2 linked regions of the Mus musculus genome follow. The protein of the gene in region 2 interacts with the protein of the main gene of each other region in a pairwise test. Links are inferred from orthologs where the notes say so. Each region holds a gene or a part of one and is shown on either strand. Other genes may lie near its edges.

Region 1 (6,720 bases), on a different chromosome or scaffold from region 2:
GCTCTTCGGTGTGACCTCCTCAGAGAGCGCTGCCACGCTGCCGCAATCCTACCTTCCACCCACGAAGCCCCCCGTCGATGATTCATGTCTCCCCACCCAAGCTCCTCGGATACCTAGCCGCCTGTTCTGGTTGAATAACACGAACTATCCATATCTACTCTGGGCTCTTATCAGAAGCTATAGTTATTTCAAATGAGTAGATACAATCTCCCCAGACAGACCACAAACCCTCTGAGTTAAGAGATCAGAGCATGTCTTGGTCACATCACCCAGAGCCAGGCCTGCAGACCTGAGGGACTGAGGTGCCTTCCAGTCAGGGAGCCGGATGGAAGGAAGCAGCATCCCCCTGCCTCAAACACACTCTGCCTCTGGGAGGTATTTTAGAAGCTGTGCATCCCCTTCCCCACACACGGGCACACTCGTGCACATGTCCCTGGTGACAATTCTGCCACATTTGCTCATCTCCTGCAGAGTCCAGCTGACGAGCCATGCAGCTGGAATTAGCTGGAAGAAAGGCTGAGAAGGGCTGCTCCAGACAGCACAACCACACTTCCACTTAGCCAGCCAGTGACCTACTTTAACCTGCCCCCAGCTGAGCTCACCAAGCTCCTTGCCTAGATGTCACACCACCGACTTCTTGGTACCAATGCTGCAAACTCTGCAACAGCCCTAAGACTCATCAGTCAGTCCTTCTGGAACCTCTCCACCCTTTACCCCACACCCGGAGCCCTGGTTTTTACAACTGCCTTTCTCCTTCCTACTCCACAGTGGTGTCTCAGGGCTTCACTATGTGGCTCAGGCTGCCACGAACCTTCTGGTTCAAGTGATGTGCCTGCCTCAAACCTTTGCAGGGGCTGAGGCTACCTACATAGTTTCTTATCTACATTCAGGCTTCAACTTGTACCACCTGGGTGTGAATCTTCCTCTGCACCTCCAGGGCCTGGCTTCAAACATCATTTCCATGGATAAATCCTTCCATGAGCACATACATCTGAGAAACTCACTGTTCTTTGGAACACAGTCTGGCCAGACTGCTTGGTGGATAGCAAAGGAGGAAGGGGAGGGAGGAGGGAGGGAGGGAGGGAGGAAGGGAGGGAGAGAGGGAGGGAAAGAGGAAAACAGGCCCCCACCTAGGTCCTTAAGCATGACTCTTTATTTCTTTTTGGTGTTTTTAAGACACAGTCTCAGTCATCCAGGCTGGCCTCCAGCTCCCTATATAGCCAAAACTGGGCCTCGATCTGAGCACTGGCCTCCATCTCCCAAGTTCCAGGATAACAGGCATGCCCCAAGGTGACTGGCTCAAGGTTCTTTTTCACAAACGCCAGAGTGCCCTTCTCTCTCTGTCACATTTCTCAACATGGCCACTCCACCCCGAGCTGAGATGTTCAGCTTCTGTGACTTCAAAGTCCCACCTCTCCATTCCCCCAACCCAGGCGCCCAACTCCTCTGTTCTTCCTCCTCCTGGCTTCTGCACACCAGTTCCAAGTCCTCCTTTCTATGCAACACCCGCCTTGTTCCCATCTGACCAATCTCTTGTTCCTGAATTGATTAAGCCATTAGTCAACGGTCAAGGTTTCTTTTTCAGGGCCTGGATAGGTGCTGGGGATGGGACATAGCTCACAGTTTCAAGAGCTCTCCATGAGCCAAAGATGATAACACACTATGAGCCTTAGGGTCTATGCAGGCAAGCTCAGCCCAGCAGACAGGCAAAGGCCATTAAGCAAGAAGACAGTTGGCATATAGCCCACCCTCCTCCCCCAGTTCTGCCTCTGGGATAGTACATCACCAAGGCCTTGGAACGTCTTTTCCTCCAGAGTATTCTAAAGTCATTTCCACTCCTGTACTGAAACTTTTTAAAAATAGCAAAGTCTTCTTGGCCTTGCCACATCCCTGCCACGGCCATCACTGCCTCATGACCTCAGCACCTCGTCCTACCTGAACACCTCACAGGCACTGTGCTCTGTACTGATAAGGCAGTGGCCAGCCCCATGTAGACTTCAGTAGCCTTCCGTGTGCCTTGTCTTCAGGATCTGCTTCTGTTCACGGTGCCCCCACCCTCACCTGGGCCTCCACAACTGGCTCAGCCTCTCTCCTCTACCTAGCTGGGCCACTGCACTCTGACAGTTATTGTGACATCTACCGTCACAATGAGTAGTGACGTGAGTAGTGACGAGTATCACTGCTAGAGATGAGAAGAGAGAAGCCAAGCTGAGTCCTTTCTGTTTGTGGCATACTTCTTACTCCCCTTTGGGATCATTCACCTAATCTGAATTGGACCTAGCAGGGAAGGAAATGAATAAATATTTAACACAAATCCATCTACTCAATCTTAATAACAACTATGAGGTACTGATCATTGTAGACATTTTGGAAATAAAAGAAACAAAAAGCGGGGGAGTCACATCACATGCCTGCGTTCATGAGGGTAAGGGTGCTGGGCTGAGCCCTAAATCCAGGTGATCTACCCCTAAAGAGAAAAGAATTAAGTGGGTGGGGGAGTTGGAGAACAGCCAGAGGGGCAGCCTTGACAAGTCTCCCAGGAGAGACTGGGAGACAGGACAGGACCAGGAGAAGGGAGGTGACACCCAGGCAGGGTTCTAGGACCACTGCTTTAGAATGGTGTGTAGAGAAAGGGAAGGGAATAGACACAAAGGAGCCACCCCCACCCCCCCACCCCACCCCCGCAAGGAGGCTCTGGAGACTGACCAGAAGAGAATGAGGAGTGAAAGGGGAGGGAGAAAAAGGCAGGTCTCAGGGATAACGCTGGGCCAGGGAGAGGCAGGACCCAGAGAACACTGCGCCGATGGTACAGCCCACCCAGACAGCCAGGGAGCCCCCAGGATCTACACAGAATAATTATGGACACACAGAAATCAAGAGAACATGAACACTAGGCCGAGGCCAGAGAAAAGTACATTTTCCAGTGACGAAAACAAGCTGCTACCAACTTCCCCAATTGGAACTGTGGAATTGGAAACCGTGAGACTGACTTTTGGGTCTGTGGGGAGGGAGCAGGAGGATACATGGCCTAGATAAAGAGGTATTAGCTACTTAAGGAGGGTCACGCCAGGAGGGACCTCTTGTCTGGAAGCAGAAATGGAGGCGGCAGAAGGTCAGAGGCTGTCTCAGGGAGAAGTCTGGGACCGGAAGGCTGCCCAGCTTTGTCCAGTTTCGGGTCCACTCCCAAGCACGCTTTCCCAAACTCGTCCCGCCAAAGCGGTTCTCCTAGCACCCAGTCTTCCAACACCCTGCCCCACGCTGTTCAACCTCGGCCAGAGAAAGAAGGCTTCTCCGTCTAACTCCACTGGCCGAGCAGCTGGCCTGACCACAGCCCAACACGGGCCAGGACCTTGACTGTCAGGGGCCCAGGCTTGCCAGCTTGGCTTGCCAGATTCTCTCCCTCTCAGATTTCTCCCTTCCACATCTCAGGGCAGCCCCAGGTGAGGCACAGCAAACCTGGCGTCAAACTAAAGCACAGAAGCCCCTGCCCCCATCTCTACCCCTAGTACAAGCCCACTCCTGCCCGGCGCCTCGCTAGCAACCCACCCTCCCCTCCAGTCTCCCATCTCACCAGTGACAGCAGCAGGCCAGGCACGGTGGGGAGACCCATGTCCGGCCGGCAGTGGCCTCTCACTCCCCCATTGGGGCTGGGGACAGGGCAGCAATTGACAACGCTCGTGAATGAAGTAAGATGATCGGACCAGGTGGCCCGGGCGATGGCAGCCTGGGCCTCGAGTTCGAGAAGCTGAAAGTCAGAGGCAGATAGAGATCAGGGTACGGTCCTCCAGGACCTCGCACCCAGTAGGCCCGATCATGAGCCAGAGTTCGGAAAACTCGGAGAAAATTTAAGCTGAGGGGAGAGAGAAGGTAGGAGGGGAAGGGAGAGTGGCGGGGGTGGTGTTGCAAGAGCGGGACCGGAAGAGCCTGGGGAGAGGCGAGGGAGGAGGAGGGAGGGAACTAGGAGGAGTGAGGAGAGGGCCAAGGTTCTTTAACGCTTTGTAGCCCGGGTCCCGTAGCTTGGCGCCCCAAACCCACTTAACACCACTTAAGAGCTTGAGAGTCCACAGAATTCCAGTTCGGACTCCTTTGCTTTTGAAGTGGGTGAGCTTAGACCGGTGGACTAACCCCTCTAAGCCTGTTGTCAATTTCACGGAAGGAAGCCAGCCCACCTATCTCACGGGACGGCAGGCGGGAGTTATTAGGGGGAGGGCAATATCTGATGCTCGCCCGCCGAGAACTCCTTTGCTTCGCGCTCTCCCTCCCTCTGAGTTCCCTCTAATCGCACTTTCTTGGACGTTTACCCAGTCAGCCCAAACCGGGAGGGAAATCAAATGTTCTTTTCTACCCTGCCTGGGTCCTGACCCAAGGTCACTCCCACTGACTCTCATCTGTGTCTTCCAGACAAGTCCCTCAGCTGCCCACCATGGCTCGGTCACCAACGGTGGGGCACGGGTGAGGGGGTGTCAGGCAGCACCCTCTCCTAAGCCTTGGTTGTCTCCCCAGTTGTTAATTTGGAGTGAAAAGTGCCTGCCCTGACATAGCAAAGAGAAGCCATGAGAATTCAGGCTTCTGTAAAGGGCTCCCAGGGCCCCCTTTCCAACCTGTGTGAAATAGGGTTTCATTTAGCCCAAGCCGGCTGGCCTCAAACTCACTGTCTAGCTGAGGCTGGCCTTGTACTTCTCATCCTCCCACCTCCTACCTGCTGAGACTACAGGTGTGCACCACCACACCCAGCTCTAGATATCCTGATGCATCCGTTGGGACTGACCTCAAAGATAGTTATACCACAGTCTGTAGCTTTAGGGGTGAGGAAAAAGCCACGGGACTCTGCACACTGGGAGGCTGATCTCGGAGAATCAGGATGCCAGCCGAGCTCCTACTGCAAGGCCCACAGTTCTCTCTGTCCTTTTGAGTAAGACCTTACCTTCTGATAGCATCCCTTACTAGGGATGGCTGCCTCCTGCCATCCCCATTTGGGCAGGTCTTCAGTGCAATGGAACCCTGTAACACCCGGACACTATTCACTCGAGTGCCCTTGAGACTCAATGACCTTCTTTATGCATGCCAGTTCAACCAACCTGCGGTCCTTTAAAAGCAGCTGAGACTTTGAGACTTGGAGGGAAAACCCAGGAATAGGGGCATAGGGCTTGGGGACTTGGAACCAGAGCTCCTGGCCCTTCTCCCTGTGAGCTACCCTGACTTCCAACCTCCAGTATCCTAACCCTGCTGTCTCCTCTCCTCTGTGACCCTGAAGGCAGAGCGGAAGACCAGCTGGAGGTGTCCCTGCTGCTGGAAGCTCACCCCCCTCTATCAGACTGGCCAGTTTTCAATGGGAGCAAGCCAGGAAAAAGAAATGGTGTGTGTGGGTATGTGGTCGGGGGTGGAGGTGGGGCTTCCCCAGCATAGATGAGGCCTTAAGTTTATCCCCAGCACACACACACACACACACACACACACACATACACACACACACACACAAATAGACACAAAACACACTAGCACATTTCTCAAGGCTAGTTTGGTGGTAAGATTCATATTAATATTAGAAGTGTTTGCCACATGTTAAGAATCCTACAATATCAATAATTTGAAAATAATAATTAACAACTCTTCAAGGTCCCATGCTTAATATTACAAGGAACTTTTAATGGTCTATCTGTGCAAACTGCCAAAGCCATTATTACTTAGAAGTTGGAACAAAAGGGGACTTTCCTTCAGGGCTTAGGATAAACGCTGATTTTTCTTAGCACCTTTGAAGCTTTGAGACAACAGGGTACTAGCATGCTCCATAAAACTCGGTTTAAGACCGTAAAAGCAGGTGAATTTGAGGACATGAAAAGCCAGCTAGTTTTACAGAGGAGATATGAGTAAGAGTAAGAGTAGAAAAGGCATCGGCCGGAGAGATGGCTCAGTAGTTAAAAGTACTTGTTGCTCTTGCAAAGGTTCAGGGTTGGGTTCCCAGCACCCACATAGCAGCTTATAATTGTCACTAATTCCAGTTCCAAGGGATCAGACACCCTCTCCTGGCCTCAGGTATGCATGTGGTATACAGAGATGCATGCAGGCAAAGAGCCATACGTATAAAATAAAAATAGTAAATCTTAAAATAAAAAATAACTGAAAAGATGGTGTTTGGTTTCCAGACCTGGGACAAGGGACTGAGGTGCCTTGTGTTGTTTGTTTGTTTGTTTGGTTGGTTGGTTTTTTTGTTTTGTTTTGTTTATTCGAGACATGGTTTCTCTGGCTGTTCTGGAATTCACTCTGTAGACCAGGCTGGCCTCGAACTCAGAAATCTGCCAGTCTTTCCCTCTCAAGTGCTAGAATTAAAGGCGTGAGCCACCACTGCCAGGCCCTGAGATGCATATTTTGCATACAAAAGCAGACCTGGCTTACAGGTTTTCCCAGCATCCCTCAGTCTCTATCTGGAATACCCTGCCCCAACCCTAAACCTTCCAGTCCAGGAGCTGGACTGCCCTTCCCACAGTGGTTCCTCCCTATATAATCCAGACATTTTGGACTCCCCGCCTCCTGCTCCTCCTCCTCCTCCTCCTCTCCCTGTGCACATGCCCCCTTCTCTTTCTCTCTCCCTCCCCTATCTCCCCTTTCCCCATGGTGACTTCCCTGGCCTTGTTCCTTGGGGATCAGTGAACTCGCCTGCTCAAGTACAGATTCCTTATTTTTTAAAATGTATCTAATGTATATGAGTACACTGTCGATGTC
Region 2 (6,738 bases):
CTCTAAGCAGAATTATCCTACTGTTTCAACATATTATAAAATAGTTGTTATAATTGAACTGCTTCATTATAATGGGTTTGCAATATTCACTAGCAATATCTCAATCAAGATGACCAAATATAGCCGGGCGTGGTGGTGCATGCCTTTAATCCCAGCACTGGGGAGGCAGAAGAAGCAGGTGAATTTCTGAGTTTGAGGCCAGCCTGGTCTACAAAGTGAGTTCCAGGACCGCCAGGGCTATACAGAGAAACCCTGTCTCAAAAAAAAAAAAAAAAAAAAAAAAAAAGACCAAATATATAACACTCCTCTCCTAGAATACTTAAGGCATTCAACACAAACTAGACAGTAAACTGCTTTAGTTTAATATGTTCTATAATATGAATGATAAACATTTTAATATACAACCATTTATTTTCCTGCAAACTCAAGCTGTTACCAAGACCAGCAGAAATTAATAACAAGCTATAAAGAACACTGTAAAAACTAATGCTATCACAGCAGCAAAAATACAAGTCATGTAGAAGACTAACAATAACTTCAACTTCTTTTTAACTCCTATTTAGAAATGAGGTAGGTCTTTCCATGAATCTGGGGTGACCTTTGGGATTTGACTAATATAGGACCCACTTTCAGCACTGACGGCTCTACAGAGGTCCTGAGTTCTAATTCCAGCAACCACATGGTGGCTCATACCCCTCTGTAATGAAATCTGATGTCTTCTTCTGTTGTGTCTGAACACAGCTACAATGTACTCATATATACAATAAATTAAAAAAAATAAAAACCTATCAACTGAGCCATGGTGGTATATACATTCTGGGAGTAAGAGGCCGGCAGATCTGAGGACAAGCTGATCTATAGAGCAAGTTCCAGGACAACTAAGGCTACAGAGAAACCCTTAACTTGAATCAATAAATAACCCCTAAAAAACGTTAGCATACATTTTTATTACTTTTTTTAAAGACAAAATTTCTAAGAGTAGCAGCACTATTTCATATGCAAATTGCTTTAATGTGTAGCTCAATTAAAAAGACTTGTTTTGCCAGGTGTGGTGGTAGACATCTTTAATCCCAGCACTCAGGAGATAGACACAGAAGAAACTGTGAGAAGCTGTAAGGCTACAAAAAAGATTTGCTCCATTTTTCTGTCATGTTTCTTAAAAACTTCACTGAATATCCATGAATGAGAAAAACAGACACACACACATACATACACACACACCATCTAGGCGTGACAGTATAACTCTGTAATCCCAGCTACTCTGCAAGGCTGAGAGAAGTCCAGGTTCAAGTTCAAAGGCAAGCTGTGCTACAGTCCAACCTAGGCAACTTAGTGAAACAAAGTAAAAGAAAAAATGAGGCTGTAGCACTTGCCTGGCAAGCACATGTGGGAGGCCCTAGGTCCAACACCTAATAACCCCGGTGACCAGTGAGGTGAGTGCTACAGCAAGCAACAGTGTGACTTTGCGATCCCCTGAAACCCTGTGTGTGCCCTTGGGTCCTCCTTTCTTTCTCCATATCCTTATATAATGTGAGTTCAAACTAGAGCAAAACTAATCCTAAAACTTAGAACTCTTTCTGTGTGTTGCCCTCTCTTCAGGCTAACATGCTTTCTAGCTCTTCCAAAATAGAAGGCTGATGAAACTTAAGCATTAACCCAAAAAAAAAAGAAAAAAAAAAAAAAAAAAAAGAAAGAAAGAAAAGAAAAAACAAAGGCCAGGCGTGGTGGCAACGCCTTTAATCCCAGCACTTGGGAGGTAGTGGGGGATTTCTGAGTTCAAGGCCAGCCTGGTCTACAGAGTTCCAGGACTTAAGCATTTACAGCTGATCTTTCTGAGCTGGTAACTAAGTAAACAACTGTCATAAACAAATTATTCATAAAGTCATTTCTATCCCAAAAGAGGATTAATTCAGATTATTAATAAGTAAATCCATGCCACAATTAGTCTACAGTGTAGATAGGCTATAAAAATAGAACCACCCTGGCCAGTCTGTGGTGGCACAAGCCTTTTATCCCAGCACTCAGGAGACAGAAACAGGCCGATCTCTATAAATTGGAGGCCAGCCTGGTCTACAGAGTGTTCCTAGAAAGCCAAGGCTACACAGAAAATCCGTGTCTCAAACAACAACAACAAATTTTTTTTTTAAAAAAGTCCAACTACATTGTGAAGTTGAATGAAAAAGTTTACTGAATAATTATCACAAAAGAAGAAAAAGTTAAAAAAAAAATACTCTGAAAATTAAGTCATCTGAGCAAACCAAAGCAAAGTCAGACCAAAACCTTATGTATATAAAAACTAGCCACAAAGGTAGTAACTAAAATAGGATGAAGAAAAATTTAGGTGGCAAGGAGTCACTCCTATTTGAAGGCAAATACCATGCAAATCCTTGATTCCAAAACCGAGACACACTGTTTTACTACTAATTGACAGCTTTCTGCAAATATTCTGCAATTGTACAACACGGATAACTTTTTTTTTCTCTATTTCTTCGAAAATTAGTTCAGAAACTTCTGGAAGAGAGGTTTGGGGGTGCATATAATCTAAATGCGTCATCTGATTATCAAAGAACAAAAAACGTGCTATATTTTTTTTTAAAGTGCCAAGCATCTGCTGGTTAAAGCCCAGACGAAATGGCTTGTTGGTGGTGGCACTCCATACACAGTTTGCTGTTTCTCGGTTATTCTGAGCGCTCTGAGAACTGGAGAGTTGATGGACCAATCCCGAGTAAGAAATGGAAAGTACAGCGAAAGAGCGGACCGTTCCGCACCCCCGGAAGGAAAAAAAAAAAAAAAAGACTGAGGTGTGCAGAGATGGACGGACCCTCCAGGCAAACACAACGGAAAAGCAGCGTCCTCTGGGCTCCCAGTCACCTCAGACACGGCTCCCCGGCCGCCCCCCACTCTCCGGGACCAAGAACCCAAAGTGGAGTCGAGCTGCTTTTCAGGGCCACCTAGCCTCCCAGTCGGGGATTTCCCTCCCGTTACATAACTGGGCCTAGGGCCTGGTTTCTGCCATCCGTCGTCCGAAGGGAAACGGTCGTTTTCCCCTCAGCTTGCTCTCGGGGACAAGGGAGCGGGCCTGGGCCCCCTGCGAGCCCGCGAGAAACCTGGGCGCCGTCGAGAGAGCCCCGGCGCCGGGTGGCGCGGGGGTAGGGGCCTCGGAGAGGGGCGCGGAGGGCGCGTGGAACCCAGAGCCCCGGGGTCCCAGGCGGCCTGGCCCGACTCCGCCAGGCGCCCCGCGTCCCTCGCGGCCCCCTCCCCACGGGCAGCCCCCTTCTCCAGCCGCCCCCTCCCCCGCGCCTCAGTCCAGGGCCCCAGCCCGCGGCCGACGGCCCTGAGCCCTAAGGCCCCGGCCCGGTACCTGGTCAGACATGGTGACGTGGATTCACCCGGGGGTCTCCGCACCACTGCGGCCTCCGGCAGGCAGAACCTCACTCTGAGGTTTACAAATCCGTCCCTTCTCTACAGCACAACACCGCGGCTGCAGGGACTTCCTCTACGTCTTGCGTCACTTCCGCTGCGCGCAGAGGCGAGTTAGCGAAGACGGGAAAAGGAAGCGGGAAAACGCCGTAAGGAAGGCCGGGGGCTAAAATCCTCCAGGTTGTAAACTACTTGCCTGGAGCAAGAGAACTGCTAGGACTTCGGAGGGAGGGAGAATCAGGCCCGCTGCCGCAGCCCTCAGGGAGACCAGCGCTTTGCCTGCAGGCCGAATGTCTGGGGTCAAACTGACTGCTTAGGCTCCTCCCGGTGGGACGACTTGCGCGCTTCTGAGGCCCGGACCAACCCTCACTGAATATAGTGAATTACCCGTATAGTATTTTTATAGGCCCCTCATGCTTGCTGTTGCCACATTCGTGACTCCGGGTGATAGAGGCAGAGGCTACCGGATCTCTGTGAGTTCGTGGCCATCTTCATCTACAAAGTGAGTTCCAGGACAGGACATAGAACCCTGTTGGGGGCGGGGGAGATGAGGGGGCACAAAAAGACGACCCTTCAGGACACATCTTTTGTTCTTGTGTTTTGAGGCAGGGTCTCACTAATAGCCTTGGCTATTATAGAACATTGCAATGTCAACCAGACTGGCCTCCAACTCGTAGAGATCCTCTTGCCTCTGCCTCCCAAGTGCCACCACACCCCCAGCTAGAACAAAGTCTTGGTGGCTACAGACAACTAAAATGCTACTGAAAGTTTTGAAGTTGTAGGCAGGAGCGCCTTCCAACGCATAAACTAGTTGCCTTGTGTCATAGAAAGACCTAAACTGCTTCCTTTGAATACAGTGACCTTGCACAAGCATTCAAGGAGGATTAAGGTTATAATAAGTAAAGGGGGAAAAATGAAAACTTAAATCAAAAACCCTTCACAGAACAAGACATTAGTAAAATAATCTTTTCTGTAAATAGTAATGAGCCAACTATAAATGACCCAGTAGTCAAAGAGCACTGGCTACTCTTCCAGAGGACTCAAGTCTGAGTCCCAGCACCCATGCATGCATTCAAAACTGCCTGTAACTCTAGTCCCAAGAATCAGATACTTTTTTCAGCACCAAGCCAAAGCCTGAATGCGGTTCATAAACACATTCAGACAAAAACACCCATACAAAATTAAAAATTAGTAGGTACAATATAATTACTAATGAAAATACTGAACATTCACATGCGAAAGGAGAAAGAATTTAAATCCCTATTTCACTGCATATACAAAATTAAAATGTTTCAACGGTGTTTATGTAAGACTGTTTTAGGGTTTTTTTTTTAAGATTTATTTATTTATTTTATGTATATGAGTACACTGTAGATGTTGCAGATGGTTGCAAGCCTTCATGTGGTTGTTGGGAATTGAATTTAGGATCTCTGCTTGCTCCAGTCAGCTCCGCTCACTCCAGTCAACCCTGCTCTCTCAGTCCCTGCTCACTCTGACTCAAAGACTTATTTATTATTATTTGTAAGTACACTGTAGCTGTCTTCAAATGCTCCAGAATAGGGTATTAGATCTCATTACAGATGGTTGTGAGCTGCCATGTGGTTGCTGGGATTTGAACTCAGGACCTTCGGAAGAGCAGTCAGTGCTCTTACCCACTGAGCCATCTCACCAGCCCTGTTTTAGGTTTTTTTATTGCTGGAAAGAAACACGATGTGCCTTTGCACATTGAGGAGGAAAGAGATTATTTGGCTTACAGGACAGGAACTCAAGCATGTGGGAACCTGGAGGCAGGAGCTGGTGCAGAGGCCATGGAGGGTGCTGCTTACTGGTTTACTCCTCAGCCAGCTTTCTTTTGGAACCCAGGACTACCAGCCTTGTATGGTATCACTCACAATGGGCTGAGCCTCACCCATTGATCACTAATTGAGAAAAAAAGCTGGATCTCATCAAGATATTTCCTCAATTATGACTCCTTCCTCTCTGATGACTCGAGATTGTGTCGAATTGACACACAAAACCAGCCAGCACAATGTATGTAAGTATGATTAGAATATATATGTAATATTCATATATACACATGTATCACACATAATTATAATATATACATATGATATGTACATATGTAATATATACATACACACACACATATTTAATGTTTTTCAAGACAGGGTTTCTCTATATAATAGCCCTGATTGTCCTGGAACTCACTTTGTAGACTAGGCTGGCCTTGAACTCACAGAGATCCACCTGCCTCTGCTTTTTAAGTGCTGGAATTAAAGGGGTGCAACACTATACCTGGCCAGAAAATAATATATTTCAAAAGAAAGATTATTCTTTGAGTATGATCCACAGAGTCATCTAAGGTGTAATGTCAGGGAAGCAATTGGTTATGGTGCTGAGTACTAAGAGAAAATAGGCTTGATATTAGAGATCTGGGCTCTTTCATTCTGGCCTGTGGCACTGGCAAGATGGCCAAGTGGGATAGTGGCCTTTGTACTGCCAAAGCTCCACAGTCATGGACAGGACCTGAGTGGCTAGCTAAACAATACCAAAAGCCTGTCTGGGCACAGCCCTGAAGGGTGCCCCTTTGGAGGCGCTTCTCATGTGAAGAGGATTCTACTGGACAAAGTAGAAGTTGAAGCCAAAGAGCCTAATTCAGCCATGAGGAAGTATGTCAGGGTCCAGCTGATCAGGAACAGCAAGATGGTCTCAGCTTTTGTGTCCAGTGAGGAAAACAGTTATGTTCTAGTTGCTGGCGTTGGTCAGAGAGGTTCAGAGAGGTTATGCAGTTGGTGATATTCCTGGATTCTGCTTTGAGAGTATTAAAGTAACCAATGTGTCTCTTTTGGCCGTGTACAAAAGCAAGAAGGAAAGACCAAGACTGTAAGTTTTTATAATAGAAACACAGTAGTAACAAGTTTTCATATTCTAAGAAAGAGAAAGAGATTTGGAAGCCACTGGCATATCAGGGTGAATGAAGTTAACATTGACTGAGTGACAGCTCCTCCTTACTGAATTACTGAATTTACTGCTTTGCTGAATGACAGATGTACATTGCTGTAACACGCACCCAAAATAACTGACTTACAGAAAGAAAAGGGTTAGTGTGACTCATAGTTTCAGAGGGTCTAGACCATAGTCAGGTGCAGCCATTGCCTTTGAGTTGAGGTGAGGTAGCATAGCATCATGGATACTTGTGGCGCCATTCATTTGACTAAGAAATGTGAAGAGAAAGAAGGGACTTAGTTCCCACTTTCCTCTGAAAACCACATCCCTGGTAATTTAAAGACCTCTCAATAACCAAACCTCTTAAAGTTT

The links.
Region 1: the proteins of Sumo1 (region 2) and Tnfrsf1a interact in a two-hybrid assay, tested with the Homo sapiens proteins (2 studies listed by BioGRID). The link is inferred for Mus musculus from reciprocal best matches to the Homo sapiens genes SUMO1 and TNFRSF1A.

Annotation. Positions count from the first base shown.
Region 1 is NC_000072.6:125,346,914-125,353,633, reverse strand, and holds the start of Tnfrsf1a (tumor necrosis factor receptor superfamily member 1A precursor), read right to left. Parts: upstream 3,912-6,720; 5' UTR 3,611-3,911; coding exon 3,572-3,610; intron 1-3,571.
Region 2 is NC_000067.6:59,667,319-59,674,056, forward strand, and holds the start of Sumo1 (small ubiquitin-related modifier 1), read right to left. Parts: upstream 3,517-6,738; 5' UTR 3,374-3,516; coding exon 3,362-3,373; intron 1-3,361. UniProt on the Homo sapiens protein: Ubiquitin-like protein that can be covalently attached to proteins as a monomer or a lysine-linked polymer.